Linked DNA regions of Ovis aries. The protein of the gene in region 5 binds, or shares a complex with, the protein of the main gene of each other region. Links are inferred from orthologs where the notes say so. Each region holds a gene or a part of one and is shown on either strand. Other genes may lie near its edges.

Evidence for each region.
Region 1: HDAC3 (region 5) and GPS2 share a complex: the UniProt entries of both Homo sapiens proteins name them as parts of the N-Cor repressor complex. The link is inferred for Ovis aries from reciprocal best matches to the Homo sapiens genes HDAC3 and GPS2.
Region 2: HDAC3 (region 5) and CORO2A share a complex: the UniProt entries of both Homo sapiens proteins name them as parts of the N-Cor repressor complex. The link is inferred for Ovis aries from reciprocal best matches to the Homo sapiens genes HDAC3 and CORO2A.
Region 3: HDAC3 (region 5) and TBL1XR1 share a complex: the UniProt entries of both Homo sapiens proteins name them as parts of the N-Cor repressor complex. The link is inferred for Ovis aries from reciprocal best matches to the Homo sapiens genes HDAC3 and TBL1XR1.
Region 4: HDAC3 (region 5) and NKAP share a complex: the UniProt entries of both Homo sapiens proteins name them as parts of the notch corepressor complex. The link is inferred for Ovis aries from reciprocal best matches to the Homo sapiens genes HDAC3 and NKAP.

Annotation. Positions count from the first base shown.
Region 1 is NC_056064.1:26,910,284-26,914,887, forward strand, and holds GPS2 (G protein pathway suppressor 2), read right to left. Parts: upstream 2,926-4,604; 5' UTR 2,871-2,925; intron 2,683-2,870; 5' UTR 2,614-2,682; coding exon 2,520-2,613; intron 2,196-2,519; coding exon 2,086-2,195; intron 2,011-2,085; coding exon 1,898-2,010; intron 1,747-1,897; coding exon 1,667-1,746; intron 1,588-1,666; coding exon 1,505-1,587; intron 1,314-1,504; coding exon 1,160-1,313; intron 1,068-1,159; coding exon 978-1,067; intron 883-977; coding exon 803-882; intron 719-802; coding exon 536-718; 3' UTR 486-535; coding exon of another isoform or gene 402-485; 3' UTR 307-401; downstream 1-306. Other genes in the region: NEURL4 (neuralized-like protein 4), read right to left, coding at 3,641-3,845, 4,402-4,567. UniProt on the Homo sapiens protein: Key regulator of inflammation, lipid metabolism and mitochondrion homeostasis that acts by inhibiting the activity of the ubiquitin-conjugating enzyme UBE2N/Ubc13, thereby inhibiting 'Lys-63'-linked ubiquitination.
Region 2 is NC_056055.1:49,564,770-49,569,465, reverse strand, and holds the start of CORO2A (coronin-2A), read right to left. Parts: upstream 3,231-4,696; 5' UTR 2,977-3,230; intron 2,697-2,976; exon of another isoform or gene 2,608-2,696; intron 1-2,607.
Region 3 is NC_056054.1:210,758,617-210,762,668, forward strand, and holds part of TBL1XR1 (F-box-like/WD repeat-containing protein TBL1XR1), read left to right. Parts: intron 1-3,736; coding exon 3,737-3,864; intron 3,865-4,052. UniProt on the Homo sapiens protein: F-box-like protein involved in the recruitment of the ubiquitin/19S proteasome complex to nuclear receptor-regulated transcription units. Plays an essential role in transcription activation mediated by nuclear receptors.
Region 4 is NC_056080.1:114,592,907-114,596,958, reverse strand, and holds part of NKAP (NF-kappa-B-activating protein), read right to left. Parts: intron 3,642-4,052; coding exon 3,561-3,641; intron 1,596-3,560; coding exon 1,525-1,595; intron 1,217-1,524; coding exon 1,076-1,216; intron 1-1,075. UniProt on the Homo sapiens protein: Acts as a transcriptional repressor. Plays a role as a transcriptional corepressor of the Notch-mediated signaling required for T-cell development. Also involved in the TNF and IL-1 induced NF-kappa-B activation.
Region 5 is NC_056058.1:50,380,018-50,384,069, forward strand, and holds part of HDAC3 (histone deacetylase 3), read right to left. Parts: intron 2,608-4,052; coding exon 2,526-2,607; intron 2,396-2,525; coding exon 2,339-2,395; intron 2,214-2,338; coding exon 2,158-2,213; intron 1,765-2,157; coding exon 1,631-1,764; intron 1,153-1,630; coding exon 1,072-1,152; intron 692-1,071; coding exon 618-691; intron 462-617; coding exon 397-461; intron 1-396. UniProt on the Homo sapiens protein: Histone deacetylase that catalyzes the deacetylation of lysine residues on the N-terminal part of the core histones (H2A, H2B, H3 and H4), and some other non-histone substrates.

The DNA.
Region 1 (4,604 bases), on a different chromosome or scaffold from region 5:
GCCCCCTCCTCAGGCATCTGGGAGGGCCCTGCTCCCATGGGCTTCATCCTTTCCTGCGGGCTCTCTCCCCGACACATTTGTTAAAATCAAACCTGAATAAAACTACAAGTTTAATATGAAGTCCCCAACTCAACTGCTTTTTTGAATTAAATGGGTATTTATTTGGAAATCTGAAGAGTACAGGTTGAATGAACTCTGCTGCTGAGTTCATTACAACCAACCCTGCTGTCGCCCTGTGATTCCTGCCAGCCACTGCCCACCCTCTTAAACAGTCCAGTGGGAGGCAACACAGACAGCAGCCAGGGGCAGTGGCAGGTAGATTTTATTGGCCTGGTACTGGGATACCGGGGATCCTCCCCAAGGGCAGGGGTTGGGGTCAAGGCTGAAGATAAATCTGATGGTCACTTGTGGTAGAATCGTGGATTCTGGCTGTGCTGGATGAAGGGGAGCCGAGGGCCAGGCTGGCTGGTGGTTGCAAAGCCCGACTGGCAGTGGTGATGAAAGGAGGGCCTTGTCAGTGTGCACACCCTCCTGTCTACTCCACACCAGAGAGCCACCCCAGGGAGGGGAAAGGAAAACGGTGCAATGCAGGGATTCTGAGGGACCCGATCACCACCCTTACCTTTCCTGCTGGTTGCATCTGCACAGGAAGCTGGGGTGAAGCCAGGAGTCCAGGGGCAGGATGCAGAGCTTGGGGATGCATGGGACGCAGGGAGGACTGCAGAGAACAGTGTCAGCAACTGAGGCAGCCTGAGGTTCCCCTTAGCATAGGCAGCCCTTGACTTTGCAAGGTTCTACTCACTGAGTCAGAGAAGCCAGTCTGCTGGTTAGCGTGTTCCATCTGCTTTTGTAAGGACAGGGCACCACCAGGCTGGAGAAACCCTAGGCGGGGAAGGAGTGTGAAGTGAATGGAGAAGGGGGAAAGGAGGAAGGTAGGATGCATGGAACTGGGCCCCAGCATGGGGTGTTCCCATCACCTGTCTGGGTGGGCTGAAAGTGGCTGTGCACGGCATAGGGCTGTGGCTGTGGCTGAGACAAGTACTGCACTGCAGGAAACGCGGAAGGTGCTGAGGAAGGCAGGAGGCCATTAGAACTTCCTTGTAGCCTGTTCAACACTCCTCCCTTTGGGTCTTGAGGAAAATTCCTCTTCCCACCTCACCTCTGAGCTGCTGACTAGGACTGTAGGCAGGCTGCGTGGGTCCATAGTGAGGTGGGGGTTGAGCAGCTCCATAGGCGCCACCCGGGCTACCTTGGAATTGCCCATGCTCCGGGGTCCCTGCGAAAGCAGCTGCTGAGCCCACGTAGTGCCGGGTCTAAGAAGGAAGGATGAAAACTCACTGCCTGTAAACTCCATGAAGCAGAAATTCAAGTGACAGCACCCCCATTCCCCCTATTCAGATGTAGACACACTCAAGACTTGAGTGCTGGCTGGTGAAGATGCTAGGGTCTGGGTGGAAGTAGGAAAAAAAAATTCAGCCTAGACACCCAATCTTCCTACTCTTACCGTAAGTACTTGGGGTCCAAACATCTGTTTGGCTCTGTCAGCTGCCATGAGGGTGCCTGGGCGATTGTGTCCTCCAGGGCTCCCTAGAGAGGGAGAGGGGTGCTTCATGATGTTGCAACTCCCAGGAGGGCCCATTCTGACCAGTAGTTTCTTAATCCTCACCCTGCATGCTGAGGAGGTGAGTTCCGGTGTGAACGGTCAGGCCTTGCTGGTATGCTGCTGATGTCAGAGTGGTCAGGTCACTGGAGCGAAAGGAAAGCGGGTCAAAGACAAGTCTGTCCTGTCTCCACCCCCACACACTTCCCTTCCCATTTGCCATTAAACACTGATCTTTTGTTACCTGATCCCTGTTACACTTTGGCCTCGATTTTATTTTTAGTTCTTTAATCTCACCTCTGCTCTTTTCGCCTCCGTTTTTCTTCCTCATGTAAAACTTTCTTGAGCTGCAGGAAAAGTTGATGCTTCTCTTCCTGTAGAGCTAAAAGCTTCTCCTGCAACTTCAGGATCTGGGGAGGGGAGAGAAGATGAAAGCAGGAGAGCCAAGAGAAGAAAGAAGTGGGAGAGATGGAGGGACTGCTTACTTGTTCCTTGGTCTCCTCTAGTGACATTCTCTCTTCCATCTCCTTTTTCTTCCTTCTCTCCTGCTCTTCCTTCATCTTCTGTTCCATCATCTTGTCCACTTCTTCCTCCTCTGAAATAAGAGGCAGAATGGGCAAGCGGCAGGGTGTTAAAATATTAGAACATTAAGAACTGAAGAACAGCAAAAACTGGTTATCCCAGTGCTCTGGAATAGGCTTCATCACTGTGAGGGGGCTGGAACGGGGAGGTTTATTAGGTGCTCTCCAAGGTCCTTCCCAGCTCCGGGCGTGGCCTTTTTTAACTCCCACCACCATCACCACGGGGCTAGCTGTCCCTCTGGCTTCGGCCGTCGTGCACTGGTCTGCCCGTGGGTGGGGGTCACCGTGGACCGCGGAGCGCCCGAACCGTGTGTCCTCCCGCTTTGAGCCCGGCTCACCCTGCCGCTTGCGCTCCCGCTCCATCATGATGTGTCGGTGCAACGCCCTGGCCATGGCGTTGGACAGCTTCGGACGCTCCAGAAGCGCAGGCATGGTGCTGCTGGGGACGCTCGGGCCGTGAGCGCCCGGCTCTGTCGCTGGCTGCCAGACCTCTGGCCGGGCCTGCGGGGAGGCGGCAGCTCAGTGGGAGCGGGCCGCGTCCAGGCGGAAGCCGCCGCCCGCCGCCCCGGTCACGTGCCCGCCGCCCGGCCGGGCCCACAGCGCGGCTCTTCCGCGTGCGCGGGCCTGGGTCTCGGTCTCCGTGCTCCCGCCCCTGCCCGCCACCCGGGCGCCCGCCCCACCCTACTCGCCTTCTCGTCGCTTTCTCTGTGGCCTCCCGAGCTGCAGGACCGCGGCGTCACATCCGGCCGCTGGGCCGAATCCTTCCGGAGTCGGGCCTCCGCGGGCTCGCTGGTTGGGCGGAGCGGCGCAGACGGAAGTGCCGGCGACGGGTGCTCGTGGTGTCCAAACCCCCGCTATGTGCCCCACGAGACTCCCCGACCCGGCCCGCCCAGCGGGCGGAGCCCCCGAAGTTGGCGGGGCCGGGGCTCCTCCCGTGGACGAGAGGCACGCGAAACAGGGGCCGAGGCGGCTGCTCTTAGACTTCGTTTATTGGCTCCTTATAAATCAGAGTCAGTAACAACTGTACAGAGGCCCGAGCCCCGGCCCCCGCCTTCCCCACTCCCGCCCGGGCCGGAACAGCAGCTTCGTTGGGGCACGAGGAGACGCCTCTGGGATTCACAGTAACCAGGGAACAGAAACGGAAATAAATTAAGTGTATGGGGGAGGAGTCGCGGGGAGTCATGCTCCCCAGATCAGTGCATGGAGAGGGTTTCCCGGGGTCTGCGGCCGGGCTCCCCACTGCGCCCTCACCGCGGAGGGAGGGACGTCCCCTTCCGGCCGGGGCACGGAGCCAAGCTCCGCTTCCCAGCTAGTCTAGGAGCCTGCCCACACGCTCCTGTGCATCTGCCAGGCTGAGCACCATGCATGTCGCGGAGCGCTGGAATGACCTGGAGGCAGTCATCATTCCGAGTCCACGGGCCGAGGCCCAACTGTGCTTGTAGTGGTGCGGCCTCGCCCCTCACTCCACCCGTACCAGCAGGGCATAGAGGAGCGTGGCCCCTTTCTCCTTGGTCACCCACTCAAGTTCAGCTGGGCTGAAGTGAGGATCGGGAGGCTCTCTGAGGGCCACAGAAGGGGGTCCCGGGGTGTAGGAGCCAGGGCGCACACACACCTGGAACGCCACCTGGGCCTGGTGCGTCCGCTGGGATTTGGGGTCCCGGAATCTGTCAGGTAACAAGCAGAAATAGGGCAGTGAGGCCTCTGGCCCCAGTACCTCTGCCCCTTGGCACCTGCAACCACCTCAATTAGCAACAGGCCCTGCTGTTCCTAGTAGTCACTCCTTCCTTACAGGGGCTTGGCTGCAGCCTCATCTCTACCTGAAATGGTCTTCCTCCCAATGCCTGTTCTACTGACTTTGTCCTGCCCAAGTCTTTGCTCAGATTCATCCTAGTGATATCTACCTGGACTACCCGATCTTGTGTGCTCCAACCACACTCCTGATGCACTTCACTCTGCTCTACTTTCCGCTTCCATAGTACTTACTTGTCACCTTCAAAAATACTAAATAACTATGGATAAACATTCTACAGCAAGAGAGGACATAACTTCCATGTGACCAGGGTTCCCTTCTTTGTTCTTTGTGATAGAACAAAATAAATGGAACTTGTACAAAGACTGTGAATGAAGAGCTGGCTGGAGACTGAGGAACCAGGGAGACAAGGTGGACAGGAGGGAATCATGGAGATCCATGTGGCCCTGAGCCCCCTCCCGTGTACTCACTGCACTTTGGATGCCAGGGTCTCAGCCCCAGCATATTGGAGGGAGGGGGAAAGCAGCACTGGAGGCGGCTGCTCCTCCCGGGGAGGCGCACAGTTCTCTCCAGGCTCCTCGAACCCTGTCCCAGGCTCTCCCTTCAAGGGCCGGCAGCTCAGGATGGAAGCAGTGCCTGTGAGGGAGGAAAGCTGGGTCAGAGGGGGCCTCCT
Region 2 (4,696 bases), on a different chromosome or scaffold from region 5:
TTGCTCAGTCTAGAACGTGAGTTGTCCAGAGCTCAAGGAAATTCAGCAATCACTGAATCTACCCCACTTCACAGGTAGGGGAAGTGAGGTACAGAAGAGGGCAGGAATTGACCTGAGATCACAGGATGGGGTGAGGAAGAACCTTGGCTGACTCTATGCTAACATGAGTCTTGTGGCTTTTCCTCTGGACCACACTGCTCCTGTGTTAGCCAGACTCTGGTAATGGAAACTTCAGTATCATTATTTTAAAAGCTGTACTTTTTAAAAGAAATGCTTATTCAGCTGTAGTAAAACACCAAACACTTCTTTACCATAAGATAACTTCTTGTAAATAACAGCATTACACTCATCTCTCCTATAATTACTTCCTTAGGGGAAAGTCCTCAAAGTGGAAGGCTAGGGGCAAACGGAAGTTAGGACCATTTTCATGGACTTTTGGAACAAGCTGCCAGATTGCCCTGTAAAATTAAATGCTACTGGAGAATCCCTATAGCTTTACCAGCATAGAGTTTTATCCTTTTACATTTATTTCTGCTAATTTTGGAATAAATAGAGTACTTTCATTTACTATATGGTATGTGTTTTCAGACATACACACAAGGCCTGGAATAAAGATCTCTGGGCTTGGTTGCTTGTCTGCTGTGTGATCTTTGACAAGTCACATCCCCTCCAGGGACAGAGGATATCTATCTGTAAAATGACGGGGTTGAATGAGATGATTTTTTAAGATTCCTTTCAGCTTAGATATTTCATAATTCCATGGTGCATTTTAAAATTATTGGCCTAGGATGACTGTTTAATACCCAGGATCTGTCATACCTCTAAATCAAGGTCCAAACAGCTTGGACTAGTGGAACAGGAAAACAAAGCCCGGATTATACGCAGGTAGAGACGACAGGAGACACAGGGAGCACTTAAGCCTGTGCGAGGGAGCTACACTTGAGTGACAGGACAGATACTTAGTCTGCTTTTACGAGGGAATAATAACACTCATCTGTGGTCTAGCCTCAAGTCCCGTGCAGCTCCTCCATGGCCAGAAGGTAAGGTCGTGGTCACGCTACTTCAGCCTGAGAGTCCCAGACTTGCAGTCAAAGGTAGCTCACCCTCAGCAAGTGCTTGGCCAACCTCTGCTCACACACCTCTGAGGACCCAGCGGGCACCCCCTGCCCCAGCAGCCCTTTTTTTGGCTGTAAGAAAGCTCCCAGGTGAGGGACAGGTCTCGTGGGAGGACAAGGGAGACCAGAAGGCCCAGACCTGATGCTCTGAACCTGCTCCCTCAATCAGGGCGGGTGACAGGAGAGGATAAGGTCCGGAGAGAGGCTCCTCTGGCTCCTCTCACTCCAGACCTAAGGCAGCTGCTCACCTGCAGGTAAATCCTAAGGAAGTGGGTTGTGAACAAGCCCCAGGCTGACTACTGCCCCCTCTGGGGCAGACACCTCAGCTTCCTGGTCCCGCCTTGGCTCTCTTCAACTCCAACAGGAGAAACAATGTTGGATGTGGGGCTGTTTATCCCTGAGGTGAACTGGCTTAAGGGTCCAGATGACTACCCCAGGTTGGGAGGCAGGGAGGAGTCAGATGTTGTCTGTGTGCTCAGAGCAGGACTAGCAGATCCTAGCTCTGTTTGCAGCTAGTGAGATTCCCATAATAAGGGGTGTGCAACTGGGCAGTAAGACCTTCCAGAGGGGATCTGACCAAGGGGCTGGGCCAAATGCCAAGATTCTTCTTTACACAGAGAGTCTGGAGCCACACACAGTCCCTCCGACACCTGCTCTGTCCCAGACCCAACCCCACCCAGACATGGCTCTCCCGGTGCTGGAGCCCCTCTGGGGTCCATGCATGGACCTAGCCCTATCCCAGCAGGCTGGGACACCGAGCTGAGCGTCAGCACCTGGTGGGGAAAGGAAGGGAAGGGTATGGGGAGGGCAGGTTCCGCACCATTCCCTAAATCCAGGTGCTTGCACAGGTCTGGTCTAGGCAAGTCTGGGGCCAAGGCCCCCACTACCTCCAGCCCAGGGCTCCCGCCGCCCCAGACCGCGAGGTAGACTTGGCTGGCAGACTCTGATGGCTCCACCCTGCATGCCCAGGCCGGCTCCACAGGGACCTGGGGGGTGTCCGCTCCCCCTGCCTATTTCTCGTGCCCGGAAGCTGAGGTCCAGCAGGTTTCTCAGCCAGGAGAGGGTCGAGTACCACACGGGTCCCGCGAGGCACCCAGGCCGCTAGCGGGGGGCGGGAAGGAGGCTGACGGGCACGGCCAGCCACACCCAGCATGAGCTGCGCTCACTCCGGGTGGGCTGCGCAGACAGTGCCCATGCGGGCCCCGCGCCGTCGGGAGGCTGGAGCCTGAGGCGGCCCCTACTCTAACAGTCAGGCGAGGAACGTGCCACCACTGCGCCGGCTATTCCGATGGGGAAACTGAGGCCTGGAGAGGAGCAGTGCTTTGTGCAAGGTCACGCGGAGGGGCTGGAAGCCAGGTCCCCCGCGCCCCGCCGGGTCCCCCGCGGTGCGCCGAGCCCCAGCATCCCTCCCCATGCGCTGCAGCCCGGAGGCGCAGCGCGCACACATCGCACAAACCGGGAAGGTATGGCCGGCGGCCCGGGGCCGCCCTACCTTGATGACTGCCGCGCAGGTGGCGGTGGCGGTGGCGGCGGCGGCGGCGTCCAGCTCCGGCTCCGCGCTCTTAGCCGCCTCCGAGTCCCGGAGCCCAGCGCCGCCGCCTCCTCCTCCCCACCGAAGTCGGCGGGTGGGGCCGGTGGGCGGGGCAAGGGCTAGGCACATGCCCCGCCCTCGCGCCCCGCGAGTTCGGGGGCCACCCCTCCTTTCTCGAGCCCTTGTCCGCGCTCCTGGCCCCCGGGACTGGTCCCGGAGCGCGCACACGCGCGCAGAACGGGCGCGCACACCCGCGTGCACACGCCGCAGTGATTGGGGCGGGCTGCCCGGCTAACCGAGCCGAGGCTGGGGACAGTCATACTCGCCTACCTTCGCGCCCCGCCGCTCCCTCGCCGAATGGCTTGGAACAAGGGACTCGACCTTCCGGGAGCCTCAGTTACGCCCCTGATGAAAGGGAAGCAGTAACTGTGTCTGCCTCAGAGAGCTGTTTGAAAATTAGATGAGACGATCTAATTTACCTGCCTGGTGAAGTGCGTGCGCAGAGCCGACCTCGGGAGCAGCGCTCTGTGAACCTGGGCTGGTGGAGTAATTCCTTAGGCTTCTCAGTAAGCCTGCAGGAAGAGGGCGGGGAGGACCCGGAGGACGCCCTTCTTTCTCTCTGTGGCCAGGAGGGGGCGCTGCTGCCCGTTCCCGCCGGCTATGGGGTTTTGCACGCTAGGCACTGGGACAGAGATGGGGGTGGTCCAGCCTTTTAGGAATACCATCAGCTAGCACTTAATGAGCCAGGCACAGTTCTAGGCACCTTCAATGCATCACCATAGTTTACATCACACAAACCTATGAGGTTACCTGTTACTCATCTATTTTACACATGAGGAAGCTAAGGCACAGAGAGGTTAAGTAGTTTGCCTAAGATCACACAGGTAGTAATTCAACCCTAGGTAGAGTGGCTCCCAACCCCAAGCTTATAACTACACTACCACACCACCTCTCTTGAGAAGAGCTCTTTGTTTAGTGGTGTATCTCTAGGAGCTAGAACAGTACGTGGCTCAGTAACTGTTAATTCACCTCAACGTCTTAATTCGCATAGTGCCAGGGCCAGTAACTGGTGCACTCCCTTGCACTGTCACACATCTATGCCTTTGTTCACGCTGTCCCCTCTGCCTGGAGTTCTCTTCCCTCACCTCCTACTGTCCTTCCTTCCAAGGCCAGTACCAACGTCCCTCTCCGGGAAGTCTTCCCAGATTCCAGTGGGTGTGACCTCCCAGCGGTGTATCTGCCTCTTACCCCTCTGTGCCATGATAGTGGGTGGCTGGGACGGCGTTTGGGGACAGGCTGGTTGACAGAGGCCTTTCTGGGGGGCCTGGGCATATAGACCGGTGGGGAGGCCATTGGTGGGCTCTGCAATAGACACACCCTGGGACTCTCCCTAGAGATGCTGTGTAGGTGTGCTCCTCCTCCCCTGCCCCTTCCTTCCTCCTAACACTGATCCATCTGATGAAGACCGCCTGCCCAGTGGTCACGTTTGGTTGTGAGAGCTGAACTGTGAAGAAGGCAGAGCAGCAAAGAATTGATGGCTTCGAACGGTGGTGTTGGAGAAGACTCCTGAGAGTTACTTGGGCAGCAAGGAGAGCAAACCAGTCAATCTTAAGGGAAATCAACCCTGAATACTTGTTGGGAGGACTGATGCTGAAGCTGAGGCTCCAGTATTTTGGTCATCTGATGTGAACAGCTGACTCATTGGAAAAGTCCCTGATGCTGGGAAAGACTGAGGGCAGAAGGAGAGGGTGTTAGAGGATAAGATAGCTGGCTGGATAGCATCATGGATGCAATAGACGTGAACTTGTGAGGGACAGGGTGGCCGGGCATGCTGCAGTCCATGGCGAAGCAAAGAGTCGGACTCAACTGGGCAACTGAACATCAACATCTGCTGACTATCTGAAGTGCACACATGGGGAAACTGAGGCCAGAATGGGAATGACCTACCCAGGGGTCTCTAGCTAGGAAACACACAATAGGTCTGGTCCCAAAGTCTTCTATTGGGCCTTACTGCTGATTGAGATAGGCCAGAAATCCAACCCCTTCCTGT
Region 3 (4,052 bases), on a different chromosome or scaffold from region 5:
ATTGCCTTTGCTAGTAATGAGTCATATTTTGGTACAATGAAAGGTTATTTGCTCATGTAAAGATCTGACTCACAGGTAATTAATGAAGATCTTTGTAGGATTCATGGGTTTGACTGATATTCTGAGCAGTGTATTAATTGGGTTTTTGCTGTGGTGTGGATATATATCACCTTTGCTCGGAAACTGATGTGTAGTGGATATATAGCTTAATCGGTGAATGAGCATAGTTGACATGTCAGAATTCACATCTCAATATGAGTTTACATTTTTCTTGTTTTATAACTAAAAGCAAAAACTAGCACCTAGCCCCTGTGTATATCACATACCAGAATTAAGGGGTGAGAAAAGCTTTTTGAGATAAAGAAAAATATAATAATCTTCAAAATTAATGAAGCTTGAGCTGTATACTTCATCAAATTAGCTCTACTAAAAATAATTTACCTTTGATTTTACAATGCCACTGCCTACAAACGTGATAACCTTCATAGATAGGATAATCATGAAGGAAAACTGCTTTTCCTCTTCCCATGAACAGATTAAATGTAACCTTGGTAACCTGGTGGGGTTTTTTCCCTTAAATACCAGCTATGCTTTTAGTTAGGTTTTCTCAAGTCTGGACTCCTCTGTAAGCATTGCTGATAAAAATGCTTTTCTTCACACTTGCATTTGCGAGAGTACTTTGCAAGTGTGTGCGTGCGTGCATGTGCACACCCCTGCTCACTCAGTCATGTGTGAGGACCACAGCCCACCAGCCTCCTCTGTGGAATTTTCCAGGCGAGAATACTGGAGTGCGTTACCATTGCCTACTCCAGGGATTGAACCCGCGTCTCTGCATCTCCTGCATGGGCAGGCAGATTATTTACCACTGTGCCACCTGGCACCCTTGCATGCACATACATTATGCTTATAAAATGAATAAAGAGCAAAAAACTTCTTTGGGAGCAGAGTGTGGTACATACAAGGAAATGAAAGAAGGCCAGTGGCTACTCTCAGCTACTGATTTGCAGTTCAAGAGATATGTTTGAATTAGAAAGTGTTAGAGAGTTTTGTTGTTGTTGTTCCAAGAATAATAAACGGTCATAGAATTTTAAAGCAGAAGCTATAAGGATGGATAATGTCTAGTGAAGCCATACTTTGAGAAGAAGGAACAGCAGATAAATGAGAAGATTATGCTTCGCTTGCATAGTGCCTTTGAGTCATGCAAGTGGAAGTGCCAGGTTGGTCTGAGGCTCAGAGAAGAACTCAAAGTTTGATGTAACCATTTGGGAATCCTCAATAGATGGATGGTCATTCAAAGCCATGGGCGTGGACAAAATTGTGTAGGTAAAAAGTATCAAGTAAAAGAAGAAGAAAGCTTTAAAAGTCTTAAACTCTGTAATATTTACCTGCTTTAAGAAGAATCAGGTTCCAAGAGAAAACCTAGCAGGAATGACTTCAGTGGAAATAGTATGTATGTGTAGAGAAGAATATTTCAAGGAGGTGTTGAAGAGAATGGTCAGTAGTATCAGTGCTATTGAAAGCTGGCATGAAATACGTTTTAGAAACTTATCTTTTGCACATATTTACATGGAGTTATGTATACCTAGGATATAAAACTGGAGAAGGCAATGGCACCCCACTCCAGTACTCTTGCCTGGAAAATCCCATGGGCAGAGGAGCCTGGTAGGCTTCAGTCCATGGGGTTGCTAAGAGTCGGACACGACTGAGCAACTTCACTTTCATCTTTCACTTCCATGCATTGGAGAAGGAAATGGCAACCCACTCCATTGTTCTTGCCTGGAGAATCCCTGGGACGGGGGAACCTGGTGGGCTGCCGTCTGTGGGGTTGCACAGAGTCAGACACAACTGAAGCGACTTAGCAGAATACAGAACATTATGATACTGTTTCGTTATCTCAGTTTCATTGCAGAAGTGTGAAATCCCAGCTGATTTTTGTTTCTTTGTTGGCACTTGTGTTTGGTGTATGTTTGTTTGGGGCAAGATTTTCCATCTTGTCTTTATTGAGTGATTTTGTCAGAAATACTGTTGATACAGGTTTCTCTTAACTTTTGCTCAAAAACAGTACGAGTTTTTAATCTGTATTGCATAATAAACATGTTTTCAACTTGAGAAAAGTGTTTTCTGCTTACCATTTTAACTTTAATTATTGCTTTTTTAATGGTTTTTTTCTATATGGATCATTTAAAATTTCTAAATCTTATTATGGTGAGAACAGATGAGATCTACCTTTTAACAGATTTTAAAATGTACTATACAGTATTGTTATCTAAACACAGTGTTGTATGGCAGATCTCCTCTAGGGTTGAAATTTTATACTTTTTGAATAGCAGCCCACCTCCACCACAACTCCTTACAACCACCATTCTTTTTTTCTTTTCCATTATTGTTTATTATAGGATATTGAGTATGATTTCTGTGCTATATTCTATATAGGACCTTACTGTTTATCCCCGCCATTCTTTTTTCTTGCTTTTATGAGTTTGATTCTTAGATACCTCATGTAAATGGAATCATGCAATGTTTGTTTTTAAAATGTACCCATGTTGTCCTGTTGAATACTGCAGGATTTCCTTATACGTTCAGTCTGAATGTGCTCCACTGCGTGCACGCGCATCTTCTTTTCCCACTCACCCATTGTTGGACTCTTAGGCTGTTTCCATATTTTGGCTTTTCTGAAGAATGCTGCAGTGAACATGGGAGTACAGATACCACCTCAAGAGCCTGGTTTCATTTTATATGTTTTATATATATGTAGCCAGATGTGGAATTGCTGGTTCATATGGGGATAGTTGCTAAAATTTGAGGGAGAACCTCCATACTGGTTTTCATCATGGCTGCACCATTTTGTATTCATTTATCAGCAGTTTATAAGGGTTCCAAGTTCTCTATATTCTTGACAAAATTTTTAAAATTTATGGTAGCCATCTAACAGTTGTGAAGTGATATCTCATTGTAGTTTTGATTTGCTTTCCCCTGATTATCCGTGCCATTGAGCATCTCTTCATATAACCTGTTGGCCATTTGTATGTCGATTTGGAAGGAATGTCAAGTCCTTTGTCCATTTTAAAATTAGTATTTTGCTTTTGAGTTGTAGGATTTCCTTACATATTTTGAAAGTTATTGGATATATGGGTTGCAGTATTTTCTCTCATTCCATAGGTTGTTGCCTTTTTACTTTATTGATTGTTTTCTTTGCTGTGCAGAAACGTTGTAATTGTATGTAGTCCCTCTTGCCTTTATTTTTCGTGCTTTTATTGCCTATCCTTTGGTGTCAACATGAATCATACTGTATTATCTGTATATTCCTTATCAACTTTCCCTTCCCCATTGCCATATAGTTCCTAATTCTGAATTCTAAGAGGAACTTATAATGTATATCTTTATTTTTAAAGGATAGCATAAAAACGAATGCCTTAAATATTGTAGCATCACTACCAAGGAAATTACTGAATGTTTATATTTGTACCATCTGAAGCTTTCAAAAATAATCTTAGAACTACAATTTATTGAATCCTGAAGCCTCACAATACTGATTATTAGAATGAACTTGAAGCTAATTTGTCATTTTTAAAAAACAAATATTAAATAAATTCTACTACATTTTAATTTCTTTGCATATATTCTCTTGATCTCTATAATTATTGTTATGGTTATGCCACATATTTTGGACTGGCTAGATCATATTATAAATGTATCCTTTGTATGGAAAGCTAATTTACACACACTTTTTGTTTAGATATGGAGTATGAAACAAGACAACTGTGTCCATGATTTGCAAGCACATAATAAAGAAATTTATACTATCAAATGGAGTCCAACAGGGCCAGGGACAAGCAATCCAAATGCCAACCTTATGTTAGCAAGGTAACATTTCTGTTTTGCTTTTCCTTTATGAGTCTTTTACAAAAAGAAAATTCTTACATTATGGCAGAAAATTAGGAAAATTCAGTAAATTGGGAATGTGTCCTGCAAGGAGTATTTTTTAAATGGGAACATTTAGACATTTTATTATTTCAGCTCATAATGGATTTTGTTTATGGAGATGTCAAATA
Region 4 (4,052 bases), on a different chromosome or scaffold from region 5:
TTACAAAAGTAATGCACGTCCATCCATGCAGTGAGTAGGCCAAGCCACATGAAAGGAGACTGGCACTGTAGGCAGCCGGATTCTGTACTACATGGCAGAGTCAGGAGAAAGGACATGCAATATGTGGAGACGAAAGTCACTCTCAAGCCACACAGGACCCTGCAGGAGAGTGACAGGGTACCTGTGATGAGAAATCCATAGAAATGTGTCCCCAGAGGAGGCACCCTCTGTCAATCACCAGCCATGGGAGGACACCAAAAGACGGCTTTGTTGTGATGCAGCCACACAGGAAGTGTCCTCCAGTAATCAACTGCTGGCCTGAAGGGTCCCCTATGTTGTACCTCTGAAAATCACACAAAGCTGACCGCTGAGTGTGAGAATCTCTCCAAAGAGCTACTCCACTGGGCTGATGCAGCCCCCTATGGCCTGGTTTGGCACCACACGTCTCAGAGACTGACCCCAACTTGGTTCGGTGCCACACGCCTTGTGCAGCTACACACAACCACTCTGGAGTCACACCGCTTAGCTCTGAATCCCAACTGTGTGACCTTGGGTATGAGCGGTACTTATAATCTGCTCAGGTCCTCTGTCTCCCCTACTCTATGATGTGTCTGACAGTGACTGTGTGGATTAAACAGCAATAATGCCTATCAGGCACTTAGCAGGGTGCCTGACACAAAGTCAGTGCATGTTCAAAACTCTTGGTTATTATTATTTTAAAGAACCTTTTTCTAGCATAAGCTTTGGACTTCCTTGGTGGTCCAGTGGTTAAGAATCCGCCTGCCAATGCAAGGGAAAAAGGTTCAATCCCTGGTCCAGGAAAATCCCATGCGCCAGGGAACAGCTAAGTCCATGCGCCACAACCACTGAGCCTGCACGCTCTAGAGCCTGAGCTCCACAACAAGAGAAGCCTGTGTACCGCAACGAACAATAGCCTCCACTTGCCACAACTAGAGAAAGCCCCCACGTAGGAACGAAGATCCAGCACAGCCAAAAATATATAAAACTAAAATAAACTTTAAGAAGTAAAACTAGTTTTGAAGTAAGGCGGGCAGAATGACATTGGCTTTCTTACCACTGGAGTCTGTGTCAGAATCAGAGTCGCTGTCACTATCATCAGAATACTTCTTGTGTTTTCTTTTAGATGATTTTTTCTTCCTCCTTTTCTTGGATCTTTCTTTTGAATGACTAGACTTCTTCTTCTTCTTCTTTTCTTCTACATAAAATACAAATAAAAATTACTTCTAAAGAAGTATTTCTTTTTAAATTTTTAAAAAAAAACTTATTTTGTACTGGGGTATAGCCGATTGACAATGCTGTGATAGTTTCAGGTGAACAGTGAAGGGACTCAGCCATACATATACAAGTATCACAAGTATTTCTGAGTATCAATTTTATTGTATTTGAAATACTGAAAAGGAAATGATGACAGGCAATTTGAATACAAGTAAAGTGTAATGTTCAACTATTTATAAATGTATTTTTAAAAATTTCTCAATAAAAAGCTCTCAATTAAAAAAATACCTTCTGAAGTAGAAGCTGAACTGGTGCTTTTCTTTGGCTCTTCATCCTCTACTGGTGTGTGTTCATCAGAGCTGAATTTAAAGAAAACAGTAATAAGAATCAGAAGAGTGTTAAAGGCAACCTACTGAATGTTGTTGTTGTTCAGTCGCTCAGTTGTGTCTGACTCTTTGCAACCCCAGGGGACTGCAGCATGGACTGAATGAGAGACACCATTTGCAAATCATATCCGAGAAGAGATTAATAGTAAAAAAAAAAAACACGCAAAACCCAAAAAATGATGTGATTTTACACATAGGCAGAGGATCTGAATAGAGATTTTTTCAAAGAAGACACACAGATGGCCAATAGGTAATGAAGAGATGTTCAACATCATTAATCACTGGGGAAATGCAAATCAAGACCACAATGAGATATCACTTCACACCTGTTTGGATGAACGTTATCAAAAAGACAAAAGATAACAACTGTTGGTGAGAATATGGAAAAGAGGGAACACTTACACTGTTATAATATAACAGAGTGAGAATATAAAATGGTACAGCTATTATAGAATCCAGAATGGAGGTTCTTCAAGAAATTAAAAATTGAACTTCCATATCACCTAACAATCTCATTTCTGGATATATATCTGATGGAACTGAAATCAATATCTCAAAGAGATATCTGGACTCTCATGCTCACTGCAGCATTACTTATAATAGCCAAAATGTTAAAACAACCAAATATCCATGAATGTATGAATGGATAAAGGAACTATGAGAAACACACAAGCATACCCCACAGCAGAATATTATTTATCTTTAAAAAAGAATGAAGCTTGCCATTTTCAACAACATGGACAGCCTGTGAGGGCATTTGCTAAATGAAATGTCAAACAGAGAAAGATAAGACATGATCTCACTTATATGTGAAATCTAAAAAAGAAAAAACCACCACACCACAGATACAGAGAACAGAGTGATGGTTGCCAGAGTGCAGAAGGTGGGGGCAGGGCGTGGGTAAAACACAAACTCCAGTTATAAAATAAGGAAGTCATGGGGATGTGATGTATAGCATGGCGACTGCAGTTAATAATGCTGTACTGCATATCTGACAGTTGATAAGAAAGTAAATCTTAGAAGTTCTCATCACAAGAAAAAACTTTTTATAACTATATATGGTGATGGATGCTAACTAGACTTACTATGGTGATTATTTTGCAATATATACAAATATTGAATCATGTTATAACATGCCTGAAACTAATATTGTATGTCAAATATATCTCAAAAAATTATAGGGGGTGGGAAAAAATAACAATTTTTTAAGAAGAAAAAAGAACTTTCAGATAATAATGCTTTATCACCCTGTCACAAATTACAAGTTTACCTGTCAAGCACCTTGTCTCAACTCTAAAGAAAACACAGAAATAGAGCAGAGGGTAGATGCAGCTTCTGAATGGCACCAAAGAGAGAAAAGCCGCAGTCCATAGGGTCGCAAAGAGTTGGACATGACTGAACAACAACACAGAGGAAAAAAAAATAAGGAAAAGGAAAAAGCATTAGGCCTTTAATAATACTGAATACAGGAAACTAAACAGACTCAGTATATTCATTTTTAAAAACTTTTTGTAATGTTAATGTCTGACATTTAATCAGTTACTGGACTGAGAAAAAATAATTCAAAATACTATAAATGTATTTGTTTCAACACTGAACCCTTCTATGAATAGGAAATTAGCATCCCATGAATTACAATTTAAAGAGAACAATTAGCATGCTAAAATCCACAAGGAGCATGTTTTAATACTAAGGTATGTTTAATGTTTTTAAAACTCAAGGCACAGAATAGCATAAATCACAAGAAAGAGGGAAAAAAAGAGCTGTAGTTAAAGTTCTTCACTTAACAAAAATTTTGACCATAGACTCTGGATTTAAACAAATGTTGCATTTAAAAAATATATATATTTAAATTTTATTTTTATTAATTGAAGGATAATTGCTTTACAATATTGTGTTGGTTTCTGCCATATAAAAGATGCATTTTTAATCACTTACTCTGGTTCTGGATTCTTTGGAGAAAGTCCCCACACTTCAGGAGCTCCCAATTCTCCAATCCTCTCTCTCTCACTTAGTCTCCTAGAAGAGATAGGCAGGTAAACTGTTTCCTAAATGTATTATAAGATTCAAAGGGGTCCAGTCAAGTCCTGTTTTCCCTCTACATTTTAAACTTTAAACTAATAAAAACTTGGTTTAAACTCAGGAACTTCCCTGGCAGTCCAGTGGTTAAGACACTGTGCTACCACTGCAGGTGATACAGGTTTGATGCCTGGTTCAGATACTAAGATTCCGCATGCCACAAGAGGTGGCCAACTTTTTTTTTTTTTAAGTAAACTCAACATTAGGATCTAACTCAATATTAGGATCTAATATTCTGATGTATCTGATGTTCTATCAAATAGTGCAAACTACAGACAGCCCGATAGGCCTGGCCAGAGATTCAGCCTGGGAGGCTGTCCAGTGTGTCATTTCTAGTACATGCATCACACA
Region 5 (4,052 bases):
ATCATGGTATCTAAAGTAGTTTCTCCACTGTTATCCCATATCTTAGCTTTCTATCTTTTTCTTCCATAGAATTTATAACAATCTACCTATCTTGTTTGCTTACTTATAGTTTTGCCTGTTTCCTAGGCTGAACTGTAAACTCCATGGGAGTTCCCTGACTGCTTCCCCATCTCCTAGTACAATGCCTGGAACACAACAGGTGCTTAACAAAAACCTAATGTGAATGTTGCCAACTGGGGAACACTGCTCAAGATGACATTTCTGGTTCAAAGTACAACATGCAGCTACTTTTCAGTCCCAAAAGGAGGTGAGGGCTGTTTCCCAGCTACCCGTTCCATGTATTGAAGCCCAAGGCCACTTGAAAACCTGGAAGAGTGGAAGGAGAGCAGTTCTCACCCGTGTCCTCGAATGCTGAGGTTGAAGCAGCCCAATCGATCACAGCCCAGAGAGTCAGCTCCACACTGCAAAAATCAAAACCCCAGGTGGCTACAGTGAGAGAACTACTCAGAATGTCACCGATGTCCTTCACTTCCCTTCCCCCACCAGCCTAGGGATTCTCCTCTTTCCTGCTCTCTTCCCGTAAGCCTGAGTGCCTAAGGAAGCACGGACAGTATTACCTGGAGCACAATGCACGTGGGTTGGTAGAAGTCCACCACCTGGTTGATAACTGGCTGGAAAAGGTGCTTGTAACCTGGGAGAGGGCCAAAGATGGGCACCTGGCACCCCAAGGGGATGGGGAGACAGGGAACAAAAGGAAAAAGGGGGTTCAGAGAGCGTGTAGCCCAGGAAAGGGGCAACCCAAAGGGACCACTATTGGTTCCAAACTTCTAGGTGGGGAAGTTCATGAGACTTCTGGAGGGACTGATGGAAGCTAATGACCTTTTTCCCAGAAAAATGCACATACACACAATATGTTGCATACAATTTCCAGGGAGTTCATGGTCCCTCTGAAGGCCATTCATCCTGAAGGACACCTGGCCCAACGGTAGACAATACCAGGCAGAAGAGGTTAACTCAAGGAGGGAGAGAGAGAAGGAGCCTAGTGAGCAGGGAGAAGACTTTAGTACGTACTCTGGTCATCAATGCCGTCCCGCAGGGGTACGTTGAGGCAGTAGTAGCGGCCACTCTCTGCTCCAACTTCATACATGTCACCTGTGGGGGAGAGGGGTTGGGGGCGCCAGCTGCTTCAACCCCACCATGTACTCTGAGGGCCTCTCACTCCATCTGTGTATGTCCGCCACACACTCCCTCAAACCACTAAGTCTCTTGCAGCTTGCATTCATTCAACAGATACTCCTGGAGGGCCTACTATGAGCCAAGCTGTGAACTAGGTATGGGGATACAGCAGGAAAAAGAACTAACGAAATAAATGAAATCCCACCAAGCTCATATTCTTGGGAGGTAGGCATGATTAGGTGGGAGACAGTAAACAAAACAAAACCCCACAATAAATTCAAACAGCAACCAGTGCTTGAAAAGAAAAAAGCAGAGTGATGTGACAGGGTAACAGGGTGATCAGGGAAGGTTTCTCCAAGGAGGGGCCACCTGAATTGAGACCTGAGCTTGCGGAGGAGGCAGTCATGGTAAGAGCTGAGGAGTATGAAGGGGACAGGCATTCCTATTTCCATACCTGTGCCAGGGAAGAAGTAGTTTCCGTATTTGTGGAAAGATACTGTCATGACTCGGTCAGTGAGGTAGAAGGCTTCCTGAACCCCGTCGCCATGGTGGATGTCAATATCAATGTAGAGCACCCGAGGGTGGTACCTGGGGTGAAGGCAAAGCCAGCGTCTGAGGCAGAGGTGAACCCCAGGAGGAAAAGCCCCCAACCCACTCCTCCCAAACACAAGGCCAGAAATTATGAAGAGTCTACTTTGGCCCAAGTCACCTGAAACCTAATACCACCAGTTCCCTAAGGGCAACCCTGGGGCTCCAGCCTGGAGGCAGGGACAGGAGAGGGATGTGCAGAGAAGGCTGAAATGTGAGCAGGCAGCGGGGAATCTGCAGCAGAGCACAGGAAGAGGCAGCCTGAGAAAAGCATCAAGAACTTGGGAGAAGCTAGTGTGGGGCTGGAGGTCAGGGTCAGGGTCAGGGCCAGGGCAGTCTCAGACCTCAGCCAAGAGCCTCGCAAGTGGCCCCATCTCCTCCCGGGCTACTTACTTGAGCAGCTCCAGGATGCCAATCACAATGTCATTAACATAGCAGAAGCCAGAAGCCTATGGTAAGATAGTATAGTGGTATTACAAAGAGGAACAATTCCTCCACCCAGCCGCCCCCTGACTGCCATCCTGACCTCCTACCCTAGCAGAGCTGCTGTCTCCCCCATTACCTCCTCACTCACCTCAAACTTCTTGGCGTGGTGCAGACCACCAGCCCAGTTAATGGCAATATCACAGATCTGAAAGACAAACGCCCAACTCATAGTCCTTTTCCTGCCCACCCCCAAAGCTGGGAGCTCAGGATCATGGTTAAGGCCTTGGATTCAGGGACCCACAGGAAGGGGGAAACAGGACTTGGGGTACAGCTACCTTGTTGTTCAGCTGGGTTGCTCCTTGCAGAGATGCGCCTGTGTAACGGGAGCAGAATTCAAACAGCCCGGGAAACACGGGGCTGCAAGAAGAAGAGCAAGTTGGAGCCCTTTTTCCTCTGTCCACTTCCTTCCTTCACCTTTCTCCCCAGCCCAGAGCCCCGTAGTCTCCTTTCTTCAGTAACCCCGTCTGCCCCTCCTACATACATACCCAAGTTATCTGCAAATTTATTCAACAAATATTGTGGACGAAACCACATACTGAAACTTGTTCAAGGCACTGGATGGGAAGTAGAGAAGCGCAGTGACAGTAGTGCTAATTGCACCAAGAGCATTCACAGGGCCCAAGGCTGTGGCCTGAGGGTGGACTTTACATTCCCAGACCTATAAAGCGAACTCAAAACTAGCAGGAGCAATAACACAAAAAACAAGAAAGCTCCCAAGACAGCATGTGCCTGAACAACCCAACAAGCAGGGCAGTGTGTGCGGGACAGACCTCTGGGGCTGGTGTGGTCAAGAAAGCCTTCATGGCATGAAGCTTTGTGGTGGCTTGAAGGCTGAGAAGGCCCTGGAGAGGCTGACTGGAGAACAAAGGGTATTCTGAGAAGACACCCTGTGCAGCAGAGATGTGGGGATAAGGTTGGGAAGGTGCTCAATGCCAACCTAAGGAGTCGACCTCAATCCTCCAGCCGAGGCTGCTTCTATTGGAAGGCTCTTCAGGGAAACCAATTGGTGTAGTGTTTAAAAACCTAGCCTCTGGACCTGAATCCTGCCACTGCCACTGTTCAGGCTAAGTTATCAAAATCTCCTCAAATTTCAATGTATGTACTTAATGCTTACCATCATGAAAAGGACTATTACATCTCAGGGTTGGTGTAAGAATTAAGTGGATATACCAGTAATCCTCAGCACAGCAGAGTAAATTACTCAAGAAACTGTAGCTGTTGTAGGAAACTATAGGATCAACAGCCTCATTTCTTCAAAAGATAAATTCAAGGAATTCCCTGGCAATCTAATGGTTAGGACTCCATGTTTTCACTGCTGGGGGCCTGGGTTCAATCCCTGGTCAGGGAACTAAGATCCTTCAAGCCAAGGCATGGCAAAAATAAATAAATAAATTCAAGGGCGAGAAGGAAACATTAAGGGTTAAAAGTCTTATGAGATGGAGTGTGGACCTTGTTTAAATCCTAATTTAAATAAATCAACTGAAAAAAAGAAAAAAATGTGAGACAATTGGAGAAATTTAAGTACTGACTGCATATTTGATGATATGAATTACTGTTGATTTTTCAGGTGTGATGAATACTATGCATTTTTTTTAAAGAGTATCATTTGGAGATATATAGTAACATATTTATAAACAAAAGGGAGTGACATCTCAAATTAGCTTTAAAATAACCTAACGTGCGGGGACACAGATGAAGCAAGATTAGCCATCTGGTCTAAGTGCTGCAGCTGGGTGATGGATAGACGGGGGTTCACTGTATTTCTACTTGCAGAAATGTTTAAAATTTTCTCTAATAAATAT